Callithrix jacchus: one gene and its partner. The protein of the gene in region 1 purifies or fractionates together with the protein of each later gene. This does not show direct contact. Links are inferred from orthologs where the notes say so. Each region holds a gene or a part of one and is shown on either strand. Other genes may lie near its edges.

What was found.
Region 2: the proteins of PRDM16 (region 1) and CTBP1 purify together in Homo sapiens (affinity purification with mass spectrometry; 3 studies listed by BioGRID and IntAct, with this or other methods). This does not show direct contact. The link is inferred for Callithrix jacchus from reciprocal best matches to the Homo sapiens genes PRDM16 and CTBP1.

What each region holds. Positions count from the first base shown.
Region 1 is NC_133508.1:40,954,432-40,965,239, reverse strand, and holds the start of PRDM16 (histone-lysine N-methyltransferase PRDM16), read right to left. Parts: upstream 6,215-10,808; 5' UTR 6,158-6,214; coding exon 6,121-6,157; intron 1-6,120. UniProt on the Homo sapiens protein: Binds DNA and functions as a transcriptional regulator. Displays histone methyltransferase activity and monomethylates 'Lys-9' of histone H3 (H3K9me1) in vitro.
Region 2 is NC_133504.1:191,920,338-191,931,145, forward strand, and holds the start of CTBP1 (C-terminal-binding protein 1), read left to right. Parts: upstream 1-4,760; 5' UTR 4,761-4,952; intron 4,953-4,956; exon of another isoform or gene 4,957-4,994; intron 4,995-5,206; exon of another isoform or gene 5,207-5,408; intron 5,409-5,948; exon of another isoform or gene 5,949-6,123; coding exon of another isoform or gene 6,124-6,163; intron 6,164-6,398; exon of another isoform or gene 6,399-7,881; intron 7,882-10,808. UniProt on the Homo sapiens protein: Corepressor targeting diverse transcription regulators such as GLIS2 or BCL6. Has dehydrogenase activity. Involved in controlling the equilibrium between tubular and stacked structures in the Golgi complex.

The DNA of each region.
Region 1 (10,808 bases):
TGGACTAATTGCATACAGAATTGAAAAAGAAACATTCCATTGATATAATTAAGCCAATTTTCATGGACAGAAATAGTTATAGTGGATATAAAATAAGCAAAACCTTCACCAGAATCTGACTTCCCTCCTTTTTCGCCCAAAATGTTAACTATTAAACAAATATGGTGGTGGAGCTGCCATATCTTCAGGCCCTGGGGCACTGTTCCTGCATCTTGGGAGAGGCCGGCCAGGCGGGCCAGGCCAGGCACCTCCAGAGTGTGGAGGATTTGATGGCGAAGCCCAGGAGTGAAGTGGTCACAGCAGGCAGAGGCCACCCCTCCCCTGCACTGGGCTCAGCAGAGCTTGGGAGCACTCCTGGCCCAGAATGGCCACTGGGGCCCTGGCTGCAGCTTAGGAGGTGCCCAGACTTGAGGAACAGCGGCCTATGCCAGGCTGGACCAGGGACGTCAGCTGCCAGCCCCTTCCGCCCTGCAGCTCAGACCAGCAGGGCAGGAAAAGCTCCACCTCCCCCAGACTGCTGCACGGTGGGGGGGGGGGGGGTGAATATTTCCCTTCAGATCTGCGGGGTGCTGAAGGGCAGGTCCTGCCCCTCCTGGGCCAACCCGAGCCTCTTGCACTTGTTCCTGTCGAAGGCAGTAAGTGAGGGGGTGTGGAAGGTGCTGGCCAGGCCGCCCGACTAAGGCTTCGGCTTGTCTGTGCCTGCCCTTGGGGAGAGGACTCCCACAGCAGGGGCAGGAGGGGGTGCCGGACACAGCCAGCAGGAGTCCAGACCCAGCTAAGCAGGAATCCAGCCTGCAGGTGCGAGGCCACTCCCACGCAGGGCACACGTGACGCCCCGCCGGCTTTTTAATAACAGACCTGATACAAGTTGAGCACTGGCCTTGAGAAGATGCTTAAACCCTGACACATTAAAAAACAACAACAACAACAAAAAACAAAAAAAACACCCTACTGAATTCACAGCAAACTGTGGTGCCCCGTGGGGGAGGGGAGTGCTGCGTTAGAAACCCTGGAGGTCTTCATTTCTCCGAATTTCAGCCGAGCCCTCACTTTGCTGTGTGGCCTCCCAAAAGTTACTCCACTTCTCTGAGCCTGGGGTTTCTCACTCCCAAAAGTGGTGCCTGCTCCTCCGCACTCCATGCTCCCAGGGTCCGAGAAGGGAGGAGGGGTCCGGTCCCCTAGGCACTGGGACATCTTTAAAAAGTCCTGCGGGTCCCCGAGGGGGCCGGGGCTGCGGATCAGACTGGATCTATCTTCTCCGCGACGCTGTGCAGGCGGGTCTGCCCTCGAAATCCGGGCTCCCACCCTCTGCCTCGGTTTCTCTGCACCGTCCTCCCTCCCCACACAGCTCCTACCTGAACCCAGGCGGCGCGCGCTCCTGCGTCTCTCGGGGCGCAGGTCGGGGATGCCACAGGAAAGCGGCGTGAGCGGGGGCCTGGCGCCCACGGGGTCCCGCACGAGGCCGAGGGTCCGGGGTTCGGGACGTAAAGGCCGCCCTTCTCCGCCAGGGAGGCCAGGAGGAGGGGACCCTGGGGTTCAAGCTGGGGCTCTAGAGGGGCGGGCGCCGCTCCTGTCGGGCCAGGGTCTGGGGCGCCGGCTGCGCGGTGGAGAGGCGGGCGCTGCTCGCGCGGCGCGGTAGTTGGCCGCGACTTTGTGCGCCGGGAGCGGGAAGTCGGCCGCGACCACCGGCCGGCCCGGGGCCCCCAGATCCCGCTCCCCAACCCGGCCGCCGCAGTCTGCAGTCCTCGGCGGCCAGAGTCTGCGCCACGGCGAGGCCCCAGCCAGCTGGCTTCGCTGCGAAGTTTCTTTCCCGCACGGGGAAGTCGCCCGAGCTGCTCCCGGTCCTCCCGCGCGGGCGCCGGGAGCTGCAGCTTCCAAGACTTGTTACACGGGTTTGATTCAAAACCTGATAAATTGTATTTAACGCTATTTGAAATTTTTAAACGAAATTATTCAAAAGATTTTTAATCCTGGATAATTTTTGTTGAAACTCTAATTATACATCACCTTAATTACCAGCCCCAGCCCCCCAAGGATCCCTAATTGCCTCCTAATTGAATAAAACAGGGGGCTAATCGGGCCCTCCGCAGCCCAGCAAGCTGCCACCAGCCTGGCCTCCCCTGAGGGTCCCGGTGGGGGGAAGCCCCTGGCTGCCCGGCCACCATCACCCAGCCTCCCAGCAGAAACGGCAGACCTGGTCCCCTGCCCTGCGCACTGCCCAGAGGAGGACTCAGGAGCCGAGGAAGCCTTGGAGCCAGGAGGGGCCAGGAGGGGCCAGGAGGGGCCAGGAGGCTGAGTGCCACCTGCTCTGGAGTGCCGCTCACAGGACAAGGAGGGCGGCCCCGGGTGGGAGTCTGGTGGTCGGCGAGCCCAGGGCAAGGCCAGCGCCTGTCCCCAAGAAGCCCACCCAGCAGTTGCTCCACAAGCCAGCTTGGCAAGCCCCCTCCTGCCAGCTTCGGAGCCACAGCACACCTGCCCGCCGGGAGCAGAGGGAGGGCCTGCGGCGGCACAGTCCACTGCAGCGGGGCATCAGGCCCTGGCGGCCAGCCCTGCACTCCACCCCTCCACTCTCCACCGCGGCCTCTGTTTTCGTCCGAAGCGGGGCAAGACGCTGGACTCTGCCGGAGGCTTCCTGGCGCTGCTGCCCTAACCGGCCTCCTGATAGAAGGCAGCCGTCCTGGCTCTTGAGAGGGGACTAGAATAAGGGACTAATTTCCCCAGGGAGGGTGGGAGAAGGGACGGCCCAGCCAGCCGGGCCTGTTTCTGCAGGAAGAAGGAAGGAGGCTGTGAGCTGGGCCTCCAGCCCCACTCACCTCTACCCTGTCTCAAGCACACCTTCCACACACAGCACCCTCAAACACAAGCAAGACACTCGCAGTCCCACAGCAGGTGGGGGGGGGCTGCCGCTCCCCCACCCCAGGGGCTAGATGGCAGTTCTGGAGCGGACACTCCCCCAGCCCTGGGGTATGCAGCGTCTAGGACCAGGTCTGTCACCTAGATGGGGCTCAGGCCTCAAGGGGCAGCTCTGATGGGGGCGCTGGCTGACCCTCTCCCAGGCCACATCTTCCACCTGCACAGAGGGCCCCCCCAGCACTGGCGGAGATGACAGTTGGGAGGGTATCTTGGTGGTGCTAACACCCCACCTGCCCACCTGAATCAAAACAGCCCTGGAAACAATGAGCTTTTGTTAGGCATTTAGTTTGTAAACCTGGGGCCACCGAGGCCACTTCATCACCGGACTGCAAGGAGCTGGCTTCAGTAGGGGGACCCTGTCCCTTGAACTGTCCTTATTCTGCTCCTAGCCCCCAGGCTCAGGTGGAGGAGGCTGTGGGTTTCCCATCAGCTGAGCCACAGCCCCAGCCTGAATACCCCCGTGGCCACCTCTGTCCTTGGAAAGCTCAGCTGGGAGCCCTGGTCACCCCCAGAGCTGCTACCATTCAGCCCCTCATAGGACCAGGAGGAGCGACCCACTTGAGCTGAGGCCTGGATGGGGGTCTCCAGAGAAACACAAACGAAATTACAGCCCCAGATGCACACGCCGGGGTGGCCCCCGAAACGCTGGGTCATGGAGTCACCTCCGCTGGCCTGGTTGTTTTCTGTACCCAGGCTGAACACCAGCCTGGTAACCGTGACCTTGCTCCTGGCCCACCCCGCAGTTTCCTAACCTGGTCGGTATTGTGGGGAAGGGAGGACCGGCTGGCCGGAGTGCGGGCCCTACTGCCTCCAATTCAGGTAATAGTGACTGTGGTCCCAGGGGAAGTTAACATCTGCTTAAAATATCGGCTAATGAAATGAAATTCTTCAGCGGATCCCGCCTTGCTCAGGGCAGGCAATGTGATCTGTACCTGGCTCAGCCACCTTGGGGGCCCTGAGGACAGCGGTCCCAGCTGTGGACCCCGGAAGGAGGGGTTCCCTGCGGCGCTCAGCCAAGTGTGGACGCAGGGCCGAGGCCTGGCAGTCACCTCCCAAGGGGTTTTCCTCACTAAAGACTCTCGGGAAAAGGAAGCTAGCGCTCGGCGCTCCCGTTGGGCCCCGCTCTCCGGCCTCCGGGCCAGGCAACCACGGCCGCCAGACACCAGTTCTGGTCCTGAGCAGACCCAGTCCCCGGCAACCTTCCCCACCTGGCAGAGGTGGGGCCGGCGGGGAGCTGGGGCCAGGCGGGCGCCGGGCGCGCAGGGGCCTCTCGGAAGTTTCCGGGGCCGCGCGGGTGCGCCGAGTCGGCCTCTCGCTTGCAGCGAAGGCCCGGCGACAGCGCAGCGGCTTTCCACTTTCTCACTCCAGCTTTGGGTCCTGCCGGGGCTAGGGCCTGACCTGGCGGCCCGCAGGCAGCCGGGTGGTCCAGACTCTGAGAAGGCCCGCGGTGCAGAACCGAACCCGAACACGCACACGCACACCCCACGCGCGGAGGGCCCGCAGCGCCCTGCACAGACAGCCCCTGCGCGCGTCGGTCGCGAAACGCTGGGCCTTGTTCGCACCAAGAGGGGTCAGAGGTCACGGGAGGCCGAGGCCAAGGGCACCCGGCAGCGGAGCCCGGCGGGGAGGGGGCGCCTCACCGAGGGGCCGCGGGCGGCCGACGGCGGAGCGCAGGGGCGTCCGGAACAACTCGGAGCTGCTTTTCCCAGCGCGCGGAGCGCGGGGCCTACGGCTGCGGGGCCGCTGTTGGGACGAGCCGGGCGGATCCAGAGCCAAGGGAGTGGAGCTTCGGGAAACCGCCGCCAGCCCCGCGCTCACCCCGGCTCACGTTTGGGGGTTCGGCCCTGGGTGGCCGCGAGGCCGGCCTGGCGGGACCCGGCCCCGGAGGCGCGGACGGAACGGCGTGGGTCGGGCGGGGACCTCGAGAGGAGAGACGCGGGCGCCTCTGCGGCGGGTGGGCGGGCGGCCTGCGGGGGGGGGGGGCTGCGTGAGCGGGCGGCGCTGGCCGCTTCGCTGCAGCCGGGGCATCCTCGGGGCTGCGGGAGCCGCGCTCGCCGGGCCGCGGCGCCGCCCGCCCCCACCTGCCCGCTTCGGCGGCCGCAGCCCCCGGCCCCGCGGGCCCACAGCGGATGGCGCCGGCGGCCGGGGCGCGGGGTGTGCGCGGGCTGCTCGGAGGCGCGGCTGCAGCGGGCGAGGGCGCGGGCGGCGGGAGCACCCGGCTCGCGGGAGGGACCGGCTGGCGGCAGGCAGGGCGCGCGGAGCCCGGGGCTCGGCCGAGACGGAGCGAAAGAGAAAGTAAGACCAAGGACCAGGCAGTGCGGCCGGGGACAGTCGCCGCCGGGCCGGGCTGTGCCAGGCAAGCGGGTGCGGAAGGCTCCCCGCGGGCCGGAGGGCGGTCGCGGCGGGTCGGGAGGTGGCGGGTGGGAACCCTCCTGTCGGCCGCACGGCCACCTCGGCTGCCCACGCGGGCTGCCCGCGTCCCCGAGGAGCGCCCTCCACCACCACGCGGGGCACCGCCGGGGCATAAACTTCACTGCCGCAGTTCCCAGCCCGGGCAAAAGTCTCCATTTTGCTCCCCAAGCGGCCGTTTCTGCCGTCGCCGCCCCTGCCCCTGAGCCCGCGGAGCCGGGTGGGCGCCGGCCCGCGCCCCCTCCTCCGCCCCTCCCCGGCTCGGGGTCTCCCTCCTCTGCGCCCGGCTGGCGGACGCCAAAGGCGGTGCTCTAGCGCCCACTATTTCAAAAGCCCGGAATATGATTTGACCAGGACTGAGAGCCACTGGGAGAGAGAGAGAGGGAGAGAGCGAGCGGGCAGGAAAAAGTTGCTCTCCCCTTTCGTCAACTTTTCGCTAACTTTCGCTTTTCGCTCCCCTCCACCCCCGGCCCTCCCCCTCCGCCCCCCTCCCCGGCCCCCACCGCGCGCCTCGGGTTCCCGGGCCCGAGCGCCTGACACTGTTGGGGGGGAGGGGGTTCGGCGGGGAGGGGGCCGGCGCCTTCGGGGAGCGCGCGGCCCGGGCGCCCCGAGCCTCCGCGCCGGGCCCGGTCGCCCCGGAGCGCGGGAGGCGGAGCAGCCCCCCGGGCCGCGCGGCCGAGCCGGGGGCCCCGAGCCGCAGGCGCGCGGGCCGCGCCCCGACGCGCACCCCTGGCCCGGGCGCCCGGGCCCGGCGGCCCGGGCCCGGCGGCGCGGCGCGGCCGAGCGCGGGAGACTTACTTTTGGCTAGCTTCCTCGCCCTCGCCTTGGATCGCATGGTGTCGGCTCGCGGAATCCCTCTCCTCCTCCTTGAGTCCAGAAGCAGCCACACACTATCTTCATCTCCCCAGCATTGTCAGTTTGGACACCTTCGCACATGCGCACAGAGCACTCAATCTGACACCCCTCGCCGGGGCCAAAAAAACTTTGCAATGTATTCATCATCCTCATCGTCGCGCCGCCGCCGCCGCCTCGGCGCGGGATTGGGGGGCTCTCCTCGGCCTTCCCGGTCTCCGTCTCACTTCTCTCTCCCCCTTCTCCCCCCCTTTTCAGCGCAGCTCGTAACTGGCCCTTTAAGAAAACATTCCGTGCTGGGCGCTCCCGCCTGGGGCCCGCACCCCGGACACTTTAAAAGGACCCAGGTGGCCCCGGAGGCGAGGTGACTATCCCCCCCACCCTACCCCTGCCTCGCGTCGGGTCGCGCTGCGGCTCGCACCCCAGCCGGGGCCGAAGACTGGGTGGCGGCTGCGGTTTTCCACGCGACTTCCTCGGATCTCCGGGCACGCGCGCCGAGAGTTCGGACGAGGGTCCGGGCGGGTTTTGCTGCGTTTTACTGCATTTTATGACTAATTAAAAAGCTTGGCGTTCCCCGTCGCCCTGGCCCGCTTTTCTCCCGTCCACTCTCTCCCCTCGGCCCCCGTCCCCGCCCTGCGATCGCCGGAGGGAGCGTCGGGGTTCCGGCGCCAGAACCCGGCTCCTCCGAAGCCCCCTCCGGGCCCCGCCGCCCCCCTCGGGCCTCCGGGCCCCCGCCTCCTCCCCTTCGCCCCCACCCAACGGCTGCTGCTTCGGGCTTCGCGGCTCAAAAACAACAGCGGAGGCGCCGCCAGCTCCGCGCTCCGCCACTGCCCAGGGCGGGCGGCACTCAGACCCGCCGCCCTCGGTCCTGCCCGGAGCTGCGGAGTCCAACAAGCCCCGCGCGGGGGCACAGCGCGGGGGCGGCGGTCCGAACACCGGGTGTCCTCGGCAGATCGACCCGCCCGCGCGCTCCTGCCGCTGCACCCCCGCTGAGCTCCGCCGCGCCCCCAGGTGAGTGACTGGCTGCGCGAGCGCCGGAGCTGGGCCACCTTCGGGGACCCGGGCCTCTGGGAACGCTCCCCTCTGAGCTCTCGGGCCCAGGTGCGTAGGGGGCGGAAGGGCAGGCAGCGCAGGTGGAGCAGCGCCGGCGGGAGCGGAGCAGGCGCTTCCTCTGCCCCTGCAGCCCCCAAACTCCGAGGCGCCGCGGAGGAGGGGCCGGGCTGGGTGCACGCAGGGTGGCCCCGGCCCAGGAGCCTGGCGGCCTGAGTGCCGATTTCTCATCTGAGAATCTGGGAATCGAGAATGAACTGGAAGGAAACCGAGTCGCTCCCCCGACTGAGTCGCTCCCCCGCGCGCCCTCCTAGAGTACCGAAGTCCTGCCCGGCCACGGGTCGGGGAGCTGCCCCAGCGTCAGCTTGAGCCCGGAGCAGGGGTTGAGCCCGCGGTACGGGGGTCTCTCCGCCTCCCCGAGAGGCTCCTGCCGTGCCCTCCCTGCCCTTTGTTGTGTAATGAGACCTGTGGCGGCTCCACTGAGACCCACACGTGCAACTCCACGCCTCTGCGTTAAAGGAGGTGAAACGCAGCGGCCCTGAGAACCCCTGAGACCCGGGTGTCTTAGCAGAGGCGCCCCGGATGGGGAGGGGCGCGGGGCCGGCGCTACCCCAGAGGAAAAGCCCAGCAGAGCCGGGCTTGGCCGCAGCCGGCAGCGACGGTGCGCCAGGCCTTCTGTCCTGGATCCTCCGCAGTCGGCACCGCTTGCCCGCTCGGATTCGAACCCCGATGCGGCTCTCACGGGTCCAGGGTGCCCAGTCCTGGAGCCAGCTCGCCGCCGGAGCCCCTGCCGGAGGAAGCGCTCCCTAGTCGCTGCGGCTGTTTCTGGCAAAAGGTAAGTGTCGTCCAGAGAAGGGCCTTCAGCAATGGCACAGCCCTGGTCCCTGCCATCCTTCCGAGGGTCTATCGACCTCCCCACACCCTGACCATCTTTCAACAGGGTCTGGACCACAGAACAGCTGTGTTTACCGCCCGACCCAGCTCTGGAGGTCTTGCTCTGCCTCGCAGGCTAGGGCACCACTGTAGCCCTAGATGGCCAAGGTGGGCTCTGAACCTACTCACCCGAGTGCAGGGGAGGTGCTGGAGCCCAGGAACACAGGCTCTGTCCTGCCTAAACCCCGCCAAGGGCAGGCTTCCAACCGTGGGCCCAGCCTGGCTGGAGCTGCTGACTATGAAGGACTCAAGGTCACTCCCATACTCTGCACCCCAGATTCCTGCCTGCTCCTGCCTGAAGCCTCCGGAGCCCTGGGGTAGTTACCGTGGTGCCTGCGAAGCGCTCCCACCTGCAGAGAGGGTCATTTACCCCACCCTCACCCTGCAGCCCAGCAAAGGCCCCCTTTTCCCCTGCCCCAGAGGTTGCCAACAGATGCCAAGGTTGCATATCCCTGGTGCTCTTGGGGTGCCCCAGCTCTCTCAGTCCTTCTCCCTGCTCCCTCCTCCAGCTCAGGAGGTGATTCTCAGAACCCTGGCCAGGCTGGGGCAGGACAGCTGTCCCTGGCACTGTTGGCAGGGCCTGGGGAAGAAGGGTGGGAGGTGTGGGAGCAAACTACTCTGTGCCCTCTGGTCCCTGCCCTCTGCCAAGCTGTGGGGTAGGGATGGGGTCACGCTTCTCTGGTTCTGCTGCTGGTAAAGGCTGGCCAGGGAGATGGTCGAGAGCCCACCCACAAGGTGCCCAAGCAGCCCTGGCTCCAGTGTCTCCCAGTGTGCTGGAGGAGCCCAGGCAGGCTGTTCCCAAGGCGGTGGCCCTGGCTGAGGTTTCGTCCTGGTCTGACCAGGCCCTGCCCCCACGTGGCCACACTCAGAAGCGGAGAGCAGGTCAGGCGTTGAGGAGTCCCATGGGGAGAAAGGGTGAAACCGGGAAGGGTAGATGTAGGTCCTCCCTGGGGTGCAGTTCCGTGTCCCTGCCTGGCAAGGGCTTTGGGGGGCTTGGGGAACAAGTAGGGCAAGTGGAGGCCCAGCGGGAAAAAGGTTGATACTAGAAGGTTTGAGGGCAGTTTTCAAACCAAGTCCAGCTCTGTAGAGCCTTGGGGCTGATGCCAGGTCCTGGGACCCTGTGCTGGGACTGTAAGTGCGGTGGGCTCGTTCCCAGTGACCTCCTTGGCTTGTCCAGACAGTGAGTGTGGGTTGGCCACATAGAGGCTCCTACACCGGACAACGGCATGCTGCTGTCAAGTTCCAAAACCAACTTCATAGCTGGGGTCTAGGAGGCTAGAGAGGGGCTTTTACCTCCGACTTCTGCTGGGGCTGGGCAGAGAGAGAACCCATGGAAACTCCATTTACCCACGAGCCCTGCAGACCCCCAGTGCTTCCAGTGCCTGGAGACCCATGAGCAGGTGAATTCCTTAGGGTAAAGGCCAGGCTCGAAAGCCAGAAATGCTGGTCCTGCAGTGCTGGAGGAAGTGTCTTACTAGACAGCCGTAGGAGGACCCCAAGCCCCAGGGGTTCCCCAGAAACCCACTGAGCAGCAAAACTACCGCGAGGGCCCGCCCTGCACTCCCAGAGTCTACAAATGCATTCAGGGCTAGAGGGCTCCTTGGCTTGGCCAGGCTTTGTGCCCGGTGTGAACTGGCAGGGTCAGAGCTGCCCCAGCTGCCCGTCGCAGCCCCTCAGGCCCCAGGGAGCCCTGCTTTGGGCTGTGTGTGCAGGGCAGGAGTGGGCAGGGTGCCTGGCAAGGTGGACTGACCTCATCCGTTCTCATCCCTTTCCCTCCCGGTCCTCTGTGCTTTTTGAATTTGGCTGTAGTCTTTCAGACACTTGGCCTCAGGCTCTGTTGAATTCCAGGGCCAGTTTTACTCACTCCTCATCCCCACCTTGTTCCTTTAGGAAAAACTCCGGGTAGCAAAGAAGCACCTATCCTCTAGTTTCCCAACTGGCTTTCCTGGGAGATGGGAAATGCCCCAGGAGGAATCCAGATGGCCAGCACTCACCCCACCCCCATTACCTGGGCCACTGAGTCAGGCCAGGATGAGGCTGTGGCTCTCTCAGCCCATTCTCCTGCCCCACACTTGGTGGGAATGTCTCCCAGACTTGAGCAGCAGGAGGTGGGAGACCACAGGGCCCTGAGGATGGGTGACTCGGCTCCCACAAGCAGAGGGGACGTGGAGGAGGGCCGCTGGACCCCACACCTAGCAGGGGACTCGATGGGGGCTGAGTGCTGGAAGGAGCCTGTGCTTGGTCTAGAATGGCGGGTGTGTGGGGGAGAACAGGCCAGCAGAAAGGTCATTTCTTCCTTATTCAGGCCTCTGGAATGACCCGAAGTGGGCGCTTTCTCCAGCATCATGCCTGAGGATGATGAGGCCACAGGAATCCCCCCAGACCCTGGGGTCAATATTTCAGGGCTCCTCTTCACCTTCCTCCCACCCCAGGCCTGGGAAATCTTCCTGTGCACCAGAGTTCTTGGAGAGGACAGGGCACAGTTCCCAGTTCTGGCCCAACGGCGGCAGGGCTTGGTTCCCTGTGGCGCTCAGAGGTGGGGGCCTCCCAAAGCCGATACCTGATTCCTGTTCCCAGATTGGGGAACTGGGAGGAGTGAACTTCCTAGGAATGTGAGCCATGTCCCTGATTTCCAACAAACCCCAGATGTG
Region 2 (10,808 bases), on another chromosome or scaffold:
TTTGGGATCTCCTCATTCTGTCATCATGCTCTGCCTCGCACGAGAAGAAACTTCTGCATATATCACAAATTCAGTTTTCAGCTAGGTCTAAATTGCTTTTTAACTCATCCATTGAGTTAATTTTAGCAGCACAGTTTTGGGTTCTAGGTATTCCATTGAGTTCTTCAAAACTGCCTATTCTTCCCCAACTCCCTTGGAATCGTATTCTTGTTCGTTTCCTTCTTTTATTCCTGTAATGCTTAACCATGAAAACATGCGTAATTAATGTTCTCTTATTTGCTCAGTTTACCTTCGGAAGGCCTTTGGCGGAGGAGTCCATTCCTGCTGTTCACACATCTGCTGACTTCCCTCCTGTGGCTCTTTCTTTGCGTGTTTCGTTCTTTATGATTGTAAACTCATCTTCAGTGGGCTTTATGGGTAGGAGTTGGAGGGGGCTAGATTGAGAATGTCTATGTGATTTTACTTCTATCACTGTGCCTGCTTCTGTCATGGGCTTTAAGGGTATTACTGGCCTGAGCTCAGGTTTTATATCAAGTTATTTGCTGCAGGGGTGGTAGGGTCTGGACTGTGAAACCTGTGAAAACTCAATACCTAGGCTGGGCATGGTAGCTCATGCCTGTAATCCCAGCACTTTGGGAAGCCAAGGCAGGAGAATTGCTTGAGCCCAGGAGTTCAAGACCAGCCTGGGCAACACAGCTAGACCGTGCCTCAAAAAAGAAAAATTCAGTCTGGGCGCGGTGGCTCACGCCTGTAATCCTAGCACTCTGGGAGGCTAAGGCAGGCAGATCAAGAGATTGAGACCATCCTGCACAACATGGTGAAACTCAGTCCCTACCAAAAAATACAAAAATTCGCTGGGTGTGGTGGTTTGTGCCTGTAGTTCCCAGCTATTTGGGAGGCTGAGATGGGAGAACTACTTGAACCTGGGAGACAGAGGTTGCAGTGAGCCAAGCTCACACCACTGCACTCCAGCCTGGCAACAGAGCTAGACTCCATCTAAAAAAAAAAAAAAAGAAAAAAGAAAAAATCAATACCTGACGTCTAACGAGGCTGTGAGCCCTGATTATCAATTGTCAACAGAACTTTCTGTCTCACAGAACCACAACAGGCAAGCCAACATGGAACCATCGTATCGTCTCCTGTTCCTGTGGGCACACAGCTACTCGTTCACATCTCTCCTGAAGGTGTAGCCCTTTGAGTGCCCTTGTTCCAGTTCCTGCTTCATGTGGGTCCAGGGAGGCCTCATCTCCTTTCCCATGTGAATGTCAAGACGTAGACCCTGAGGCTCCAGACCAACACTCTGCTGGGCAGCTGCCCTCAGGCTCTCACACTTCAGGACCCGGTTTTCAGTTTGTCTCTGGCTCCCGGCACGTCCCTGACCTCCTTGTGAGCTCAGCTCTGCATTAAAAGTTTGTTGTTTCTGTGTTGTGTTCACAAGCTCTGTCCTGGGAGGCTTTTGGGGTCTTAGCACCACAGGGAAAGACAGAAGTGGAAATCTGCTTTTGCACTATTTCTAAGATGAATTTCTAGGCTTGTCTTCAGAACACTTGCCATCCCCCTCTGCTCTGGCTTGAATGACTGTCCTCTCCAAAATTCATGTAGAAGTTTGATTGTCATTGTGACGATATTAATAGGTGGGACCTTCGAGAGGTGATTAGGCCCCGAGGCCTTTGCCCTCCTGAATGGGCTGGTGGGCATGTTATAAAAGGGAGGGTTCAGCCCCTTCTGTTTCTCTCTCTTGCTCAATCATCCTTCCTCTTTGCCCTTCTGCTATTCTGCGACGTGATGACGCCACAGGAAGGCCCTGACCCCTGACGCTGGACCTCCCAGCCTCCTGAACCGTAAGCCAGCAAGTTTCTCCACACTCTAAGTGACCCAGTCTGTAGGAGCCTGTTACAGCAGCACGGAACGGATGAAGACATCCTCTGTATCGTTTTGCAATCCCACGAGACAGGCGTTCTTTTGCATCACTGATGAAACTCGGCCCTGGAGGGCTTAAGTAACAAGGCAGGTCTGTCGGCTTCAGTTCTCGGCTCCCCTGGGCTTCGTGGCGCTTCACAGCTCGCAATCCCCCTGCAGGGCAGATGTGATTTGTCCTCCCATCTTGTGGCTGAAAAGCAAGCCTGTGGCACTTAAACAGGTTACGTGGCAGGTTTCAGCCATTGTACTAAAACATATTTTGGGTAGAAGATGTGGTGTGTATACGCGATGGCTCAGCGGTCAGCCTTAACAAGGAGGACAATTCTGCCACGTATGACAATATGGATGAACCAGAGGGGCATTAAGTGAAAAAGCCAGGCACAGAAAGACAAACACTGCATGATCTCACTTACAGGTGGGATCCACAAAAGTTGACTCACGGAAGCAGAGGGTAGAATGGTGGTTATCTGGGGCCGGGGCTGGGGCTGGGTGGAGATGCTGGTCAAGGGATACATTTCAGCTACATGGAGGAATACGATCAAGGGAGCTATAGTGGGACTTGGTGACTTTAGCTAATAACATGGTGACTATAGTTAAGAACAACATATCTTGTGCTTGGAAATTGCTAAGAGTAGATTTTAAGTGTTCTCACCATCCCAAAAAACAAGTATGTGAGTGAATGCATGCTAATTAACTTGATTTAGCCAGTTCACAATGTATACATAAGTTAAAACAAATTGTAAACAATCAATGTATACAATTATTATGTGCCAATTAAAATAAATACATTTAAAAATATTTTAGGTATTTGTCCATTTTTGTTTCAAGTTTACTTGTTCATCATTTTAGTATGAAAAATTTTTTTTTTTGGCTGGGCGCAATGGCTCACACCTGCAATCCCAGCACTGTGGGGGGGCCAAGGTGGGTGAATTACCTGAGGTCAGGAGTTCAAGACCAGCCTGGCCAAGATGGTGAAACCCTGTCTCTACTAAAAATACAAAAAATTAGGGGGGTGTGGTGACGGGCACCTGCAATCCCAGCTACTAGAGAGGCTGAGACAGGAGCATTGCTTGAACCCAGGAGGCGGAGGTCGCGGTGAGCTGGGATGACGCCACTGTACTCCAGCCCGGGCAACAAGAGCGAAACTCTGTCTTAAAAAAAAAAAGACGACTGTTTTTTTTCTTCCTGTGTGTACATGACTGACAACCCAGTGGTTTCCTTTAATACCTTATCAACATTTCCAGGCACTTTCTGTATTTGAGGTATGTGAATAGGGTGGCCCTCGTCTTGAGCGTGGCACTGAACTGGAGGCCTTTGGCTACACGCCGGAAGCTCTGGGTACTGAGGAGCTTGTCCCCCACTCTGTGCCAGGAATCGGAACGGTGGCCTAGGAGAGTTGGCAGAGGAGGAGGAACCAGACGCAGTGAACTTCCTGGTTTGTCCCAGTGTCAAGCAACTTGGCGTTTTTCTTTCACACGTGGCTGGAACAGAGGAGACTCACAGAAATATCTTCGTTGAATAAATAGAGTCCATTGAAATGGAGTCACATGAAGCAGCATTCATCCATCCAAAACGCCAATGCTTCCTTAGGGTGGGCTGAGTTTTACCCCAACACTAAGTTGTCTCATGTGATGGGCAAAACGACTCACGTGGAAACTGAGGCTGGCTGGGGGAATCCAGGCCTCTGGCATCCTCACCAAGGTAACTCTTGAGCAGCTCCCAGACAGCCCATTGTGTAGGGCAAACACCAGGAGCCCCTCCTGTGTGCAGGTACATGGCAGGCTCAACCATGGCCAGAGGGCAGGCACATGCTCGGCCAAACCCTAGAGGGTGGTGGGCATCTGCTCATCACAGGGGAGGACGGGAGGTGGGAGAGGCAGGTGGGCCTGTGGGGGTTGGGACGAGCTGTGCACATGGCTTGGCACACCCAAAGCTGAGGTTTCTCCTTGGGCAACACAGTCACATGTGAGTGTAGGAATCTCGGCTGGAGTTGCCCAACGTGGGGAGCAGACAGCACTGTAGCCAAAACCGCAGCTGGAGAATGCAGTGCTTGGAACAAGCCAAGCCATTGGGACGGGGCTGGGGCCAAGTAGACATGATAATGCACTAACGAGCAGTGCGGGGGGTAGGCTGTGGAGCGTGATCCTGGGGGAGACGCTGGATCCCTGGCTGGCCTGCATTGCTCTCCAGAGCTTTTAGCTGCCTGTGGAATTCCAGGTGCTCTGCTCCAGCTACTTTCAACGTATAAGCAGGAAGTGGATGCTGGAGAGGAACTGCTCTTCTGGACTGAGCTTGCTGCTCATGGCAGCCCCACCTACAGGGCCCAAAGCCTTATTGATGTTCCTTGCACCTTCCACCACGTGGCTGCCTCTTGAGCTCTGCAAGTGCACCACAGAGCCAGGAATTTCTCCCCAAAAGCCTCTCCATTTTACCCACGACCCCCCAGTAAATCACAACCTGAGAATAGAGTGTCTGCGACCCCCCTGTCCCCAGCTCCCCTGGGGGCAGGGGTTGGCACATCCCTGTGCCCGGCCACTTGCTGCCTCCTCCTGGGCTGCTGGTCCATGCCCAGTGGACAGGAAAGCCCAGCGAGGTCCCTGCCTGTGCACCCCGCCAACCACACTGTCCCCTCCCGGCAGCCTCACCTAGGCCCCTCCAGTGGCGGCCCCTTGTCCCCTGCACCCATGCCTGGCCTTGGAAGTTGCTGCTCACTTTTCTGGAATATTCTTTTCTTAGATCTCTGCAGGACTGTCCCTACCCCTACAAGGGCTCCACACATGTTCCCTCCTTCATGACTCCCACTGGGCTTCCCCGGCAGAGCCCCATGTCTCCAAAGCTCTGGTGACACCTGCCAGGCTTCCTCCAGGCCACAGCTCCGCAGCGCGCGTCTGAAAGAGAATAGGAAGTGGCCCGCAGGGCAGGCTGGCTGAGGGCCCCAGCACTGTCAGCGGGGTCTGAGGTCCTCCCAGCCCTGAAGGGGAAACTGGAGCTTCTCAGGCCAGCCCAGGACGCGTCCTCAGGAACCACAGCAGGTGCCTGGCAGCGGAGAGGAGTCTGCGTCTTTCAGGATCCATACTGTTGTATCCGAAACTATGCAAACACTTCGGGGTGCTCAGAGTAGCCCCGCAGAGGCCCTCCCCACGGGGCGGAGGGAAGCGTCCACTCGCTATCCCTGGGCCCTTGGAGAGTCCGCAGAGGCAGCCCCTGGGGGAGCAGGCCGGGGTCTGGACGTCTCCTGCAGCGGGCGGGGCTTTGCTATTAATCCTTAACCCAAATTATGGAAAGAGGAGCTGAGCTGCCAGGACGCCGGTCGGCTACAAACCCCACTCTTGTTAAAGACAGAGGGGGTCGGGGAGGGGGTTCTCCGGCCCTGAGCTTCCCGGGCCTGGCAGAACGCGGCCCCTCCGGGAGTCCGGGTCCCCGGGCGGGGGAGGCACCGGGGCGAGCGCGCTTCTCCCGGGGCCCCGAGTGCGGCCGGCTCTCGGACGGTAAATTCAGGGCCCGGGTGGAGGCGACGGGGTCCCGCGGCCTCGGTGACCCTGGACAGCAGCGGGAAGAGCGGGACCGCAAGGACAGGCTCCCCGGGGGCGCACGGACCCCGCCGCGCACCGGCTGCAGGGCCAGGCCGCGGGCCGAGGCGCGAACGCGGGAGGCGGCGGCCGGAGGGGCGGGAAGGGAGCGGGGCGGCCCCGGCGCGGAGGAGCGCCATTTACGTTCCGGCCCGCGCCGGGCGCTGACGTGGGCGGCCCGGCCCGGCCGGCGGCGCAGTCCCGCAGGGGCCTCGGGGTGGACGGCCCGACCCTGCCCGTCTTCCTCGGGGACGGGCGGTTTAGAACGTACAGAACTCCGGGCCCCGGGGCTCCGCCGGGCTGCAACCCCGACCAGCTTCCCGCCGGGCTCCCGCCCCGCCCCGCGGCCGCGCCCCGGCCGGGCGGGCCCTGAGCCGCCCGCGTGAGTCCGCCCGCCGCCCGCGCCGGGAACCAGGAGACCAACCGCGAGGCCCCGCCCGCGCGCGCCGCCGTGTCCCCGCCCGCGCGGTCGTCCGAGCGCGGCTCAGCGGCGCGGCGGAGACTCGGCACGGCGGCGGCCAGGCGCAGGCGGGCGGGCGGAGCAGCGGACGGCGCCGAGGCCGCCCCAAGCGCCGGGCTCGCGGCGGCAGAGCGCGCCGGAGTGGTCGGGGCCCGCGGCCGCCCGCGCCTCTCGATGGGCAGCTCGCACTTGCTCAACAAGGGCCTGCCGCTGGGTAAGGCCGCGCGCGCGCGCGTTTCCGGCCGCGGGCGGGGGCGGGGCGGGGCGGAGGCCGCGCGGGCGGGGGACGCGGGGGCGGGTTGAGCGCGCGCCCGCAGGCCGCCGGCTTTGTGTGCGAGTGCGCGTGCGCGCTAGCGCCCGCGCGTAGCCGCGACCGGGGGCGGGACCGCGGGAGGGGTGGTGCGCATGCGCGGACGGCTGCGTACCGGTGCGCGTGCGCGAGCGCCGCTGTCCGCCCGCCCCGCCCGCGGCCCGCGCAGGTGACACAAAGGGGCCTGCGGGCCTCTTGGCTGCCCCGCGGGATCCCCCGGCTCCACTGGCCCTAGGCCCTGGGGACCCGGGACGGCCCCCTGAGTCCCGATCCCCGGCCGCGACCCAGTCCCCAGTCATGACCCCGCGGCTGGGCCTGCGGGGCTGAGGTGTGGGGTGCGCCCTGCGCAGCTCGGGACGTCCTGGGGCGCGCTCCCTGGGCCACTCGCGGGAGCGCGCCCCGCCCGCCCGGAGACCGCCGGCTACGGTGGCGGCGCGCTGTGGGGAAAGAGGACGGGCCCCGGGCGCCTGGTCTGACCGCGGAGGAGGCCGCCACCCTGAGACCGGGCCCAAAGCGCAGCCCCCGGCTGTGACGCGGGAGGGCCCGGGGGTCTCCGTCCCCGCGAAGTCCCGGACCCGCCCGGCGCCCCCACCTGCTCGTGCCTGGTGCCGCCCTGGTCCTCGGGCGCCTTCCCCGCGGGCTGCGGAAGCAGGGAGCTTGGGCGGGAGCCGGGCCCGCAGGCATCGCCATCTTGCAGTGCCCGCGTTCTGGGCCGGCCCGGGCCGCTCCGCGGAGCGTCTGCCCCCACCTCCGACTCGGCTGCAAAGGCAGAGCCCGTGCGCCTGAGCCGCGGGCCGGGGCCGGAGCCCTGCTGCTCTAGTCTGTGTGATTGCCCGGACAGAATCCCTTCCAGTGGGGAAGAGGGAGGGCGGGCGCGCTGTTCCCGGTGCTCCGAGCTGGGGAGGGGAACCCTGAGAGCCGGGGTTACAGGGCCCGGCGTCTGGCCGAGGCGGCGGGTGCGCAGGGTGCCCCGTCCAGCTCCGTGGAGCACGGGCCCCCCGAGTCCTCTCCACCGTTTGCGAAGGAGCTCGGCAAGGGGCGCACGTTCCTCAGGGAAAGAAAGGCGCTGGCGGCTGGGCCCGCACCTCGGCTGTCCCCGCTGAGCTAGCGCGGTGACCCCGGCCTTCCCGGCCTTTCCCGGCCAGGGGGTGGCCTCTGCGCGTCCGCGTCTCCAGCTGCGACTTGGGACGGTGTTGGGGCAGCACCGTGGGGAACTATTTGCCGTTGCAGCTGAGGATGACAGCTGCGGTTTGTGGGACCCCTTTCTCTGTCCTGGAACCTCGTTGGGCGTGGCTCTGCCCTGGGCCTCAGCAGCAGGCCTCCCGGGTCTCCCCTGCGGGCCCAGGCCTGGCCACCACCTTCTGGGGTCCGGGCTTGGCGCCTGGTTGCTGCTGTCGGCTCTGCAGACGCCTCTTCCTCTCTTGGTTCTGTCGTCCATTTTTGAGCACCTGCTTCTGTCCTCGGGTCTCCAGAGCTCTGGAAGGGACATGCACCCGGGGCCGCGTCTAGTCACTCCTGGTGGTGCCTCGTCTGCCTTCCTGGCCATTTTGGGGTGTCTGCCATGTCCCCAACGTGCACTTCATCCTGTCAGCTTTGACAAGAACAGTGATGAGTTCTGAGAGGTGGGCGTGTGGTTGGGGATGTCAGTGTGGGATCTTCCCTTCTACACGTTTGTCATTAATCTGAGGATATAGCAGTAGGGGGGGGCGGGGGGGGCTTGGCCCCGGGTGCACAGGACGGGGACTGGTCTTGTCCCTGTACTCAGTGGGCTGAGCCTGGGCCCAGTCCTGTGGGCTTGGGCTGCCCCGGCCAGGCTGGCCCTTCCTGCAGTGCTCTGTGCCCTGCTGTGCCCTGGTACTCCCCATGCAGTGCCCGAGTCAGCATGTGCCCTGTGGGGTGTTTACCTCGGGTGACTCTCCTTCCAGAAGAACTTGTTTTCCACTCCACTCGGGGCTGGAGAGGCTCTGTGTAGGTGGTGCTGATGGGGTGCAGGCTTGGCTCAGGGCCCAGGGGTGGCCAGGAGGTGGTGGAGGCTGCAGGGGCTGCTGTGGGGGTTCTGTGGTTGAACTGCATAGCTTGAGGGAACACTGGTCAGAGCGCAGGGGTCCTCTGGTGGGCAAAAGCTCTGTGCGAGGAGCCTCTGGTCCCCCGGGTCCTCCATTGTCTGCTGCAGTGGCCAGAGCCCACTGCTGTCCTCCCCCCGACTAGGTCGGGGTAACCTACAAGGTGCCACCTATGTCACTTGACTGTCCCTTCCGGCAGCCCTTCAACCACACACTTAACGTGGTATCTCCCATGAGAAAATGTTCATTTTTTCCTGTGAATCCAGAAATCTCTTAGATTGTTCTTTGTCAAGCCAAACACTGACCTTGAGTTGTCCCTCTGGGTGGCCCCAGGCGGTGCCAGCTTGTAGGTGTTGAAGGAGAGGGAGGATGGTCCAGAGGAAGCCCAGTAGGTCCAGGGTTGGTTTGGATGGGGAGGTTTTGGGGCTGTGGCCCTGAGAGGCGTGGGACCAGGCCCCTTCTGCACCCTCCCCTGGCACCGCCATCAACTCCCCAGGCCTGATGTGGCCCATGCCGCCCTGGCCTGCCGCCCATCTGTGGTATGCGGGCTGCTAGGCTGCCCCGTCTGCCTGGCTGGTATGAGCCTGAGGCATCTGAGACTGCCTCTCAAGCAGTATGGTGTGTAGAATGTCCTGTTGGGAAGGCCAGAAAGGGGGTAGCCCAGCTGCCCCACACGTGGTAGGAGCTGGGAAGGTGGCGTTCTGGGGGATCCTGGAGTTCACAAGGTGTCTGCATGTGCTTGCTGAATAAACATGGGAACGTGCGAATCCACGGAAGTCCTGGAGAGGAGTCTCGGTGGCAAATTCGTGCCTCTGATTACAGCTCCTACTCTGCGATCTCTGAGCTGCGATGTGGCCCCACAGGCCCTGTGGAGCACCGTGGCTCCCTGGCTCACAGGATGCTGTAGTCGGAGGTGCTGCGTCGGCCCATGGGTGGCAGGCGGTGTCTGTCTGGGGGAAGTTCTGGTGGCCCCATGCTGCTGTGGGGCTCCCTCTTGGGGGACTGGCCTTCTCTGTTATTACAGGGCAGGGACTCAGTCCCCTCGGGGCAGCAGGTGGCTGCATCTTGGGGCTGGAGGGCTCTGGGTCAGGCTGTGTGCAGCCTTTGTCACTGTCAGCCCCTGCCTGGGCAGCTCAGCCTGGACAGCCAAAGGCGGCATCTCACCAACGCCCAGGTGGCTGTGCCAGGGGACTCACGGCAGGACAGCTTTGTCACGAGAAGGCCACTTGGGGCAGTGCCAGACTTTTAGCCCAGAGGCATCAGGGCTTATGGGGACAAGGCAGGGTGAGGGCTGGCGAGACTGCCAGCCCAAGGGTGCCCTTCTGGAGGTTGGGGAACGTCTTCCTGGGCAGCAGCTTTAGTGGCCTCTGTGGGGAGGGGGAAGAAGATGGGGTTGGTGAGGAAGGGCCTTGGGGACTCATTCTGGTAGAGGCCGTGGGGGAGGGCAGGGGACTGGTTGGCCTAGCAGGGCTGGAGGGACTTGGAGGGTTGGTGGCTGCTGAGGCTGGGTCTCAGCAGGCCGGGATGGGGCCAGGCACTGAGACTGGGGAAGGAACAATGCTGTTGTGGTGAGTTTGGACAGCTGAGTCCGACATCTCATCAGAGCTGCAGGAGGAGAGAGAAGCCAGCAGGGGACCCCCAACCCCAAGTCCTACCTGAGGGGACTGGCGCAGCCTGGGCTGGAGATGACCCCAAGCAGGTGCTTGGTTCTGGCGCATCTTGGGGTCTCCTGGGACTTCCTGCAAACCCAGTGCCCAGAGACCTTCTGTGGCTGTCCGGCGGGGGGGCAGGTCCCAGCCTGTGGTGACCCCGGTGTGCAAGGAGCTACCCTGGTCCCTCTCCAGAGTGGACTGATGCCCGTTGCACACGTGACTTAGGGCCGAGGGGGCAGGTGTGGCCAACAGGAGGAGGATCCAGAGACGGCTTCGGCACGTGGTCTGGTGGCACTGGGGTCATCAGGCCGCCCCTGTGCAGCCTCCTGGGACTTGATGCCTCCGGAGACCCTGGGGGTTGTTGCCTCTCACCTTAACCTCGTTTTCTTTAAAAGAAATTTTTATGTTAGAATAGTCTGAGATTTGCAGGAAAGTGAGGAAGCTAGCACAAGCTTCGGGTGCGCCCCACACTCAGTTTCCCCTGAGGGTCCGTTCAGGGCTTTCTTACAATGTGAGGTTAAGTGGAAGGAGGCCCCGGCATCTGCAGGATGTGAACCTGGAGACTGTCCTTGCGTTGCTGAGCTGAGAGCTATGTGTGGCTGTGAGTTTTTAATAAGGAAAAGCAGTGTGGGTCCTGGGTTTGGATGGCACAAGCCCCTCTGGGAGCTGTGTGCCTTCATCTCAGAGCGTGTGAGGGAGGTACAGGCCAGGAGCCCTTGACTCCCAATTGGCCAGCTAGGAGGGCTGTTGGGAGGCCAGCTCCCTGGCATGAGGTGCCCAGGGCCTCCAGACATTGCACTGGGTGGGAGCTCTGGGACTCGGAGGCTGGGTGTC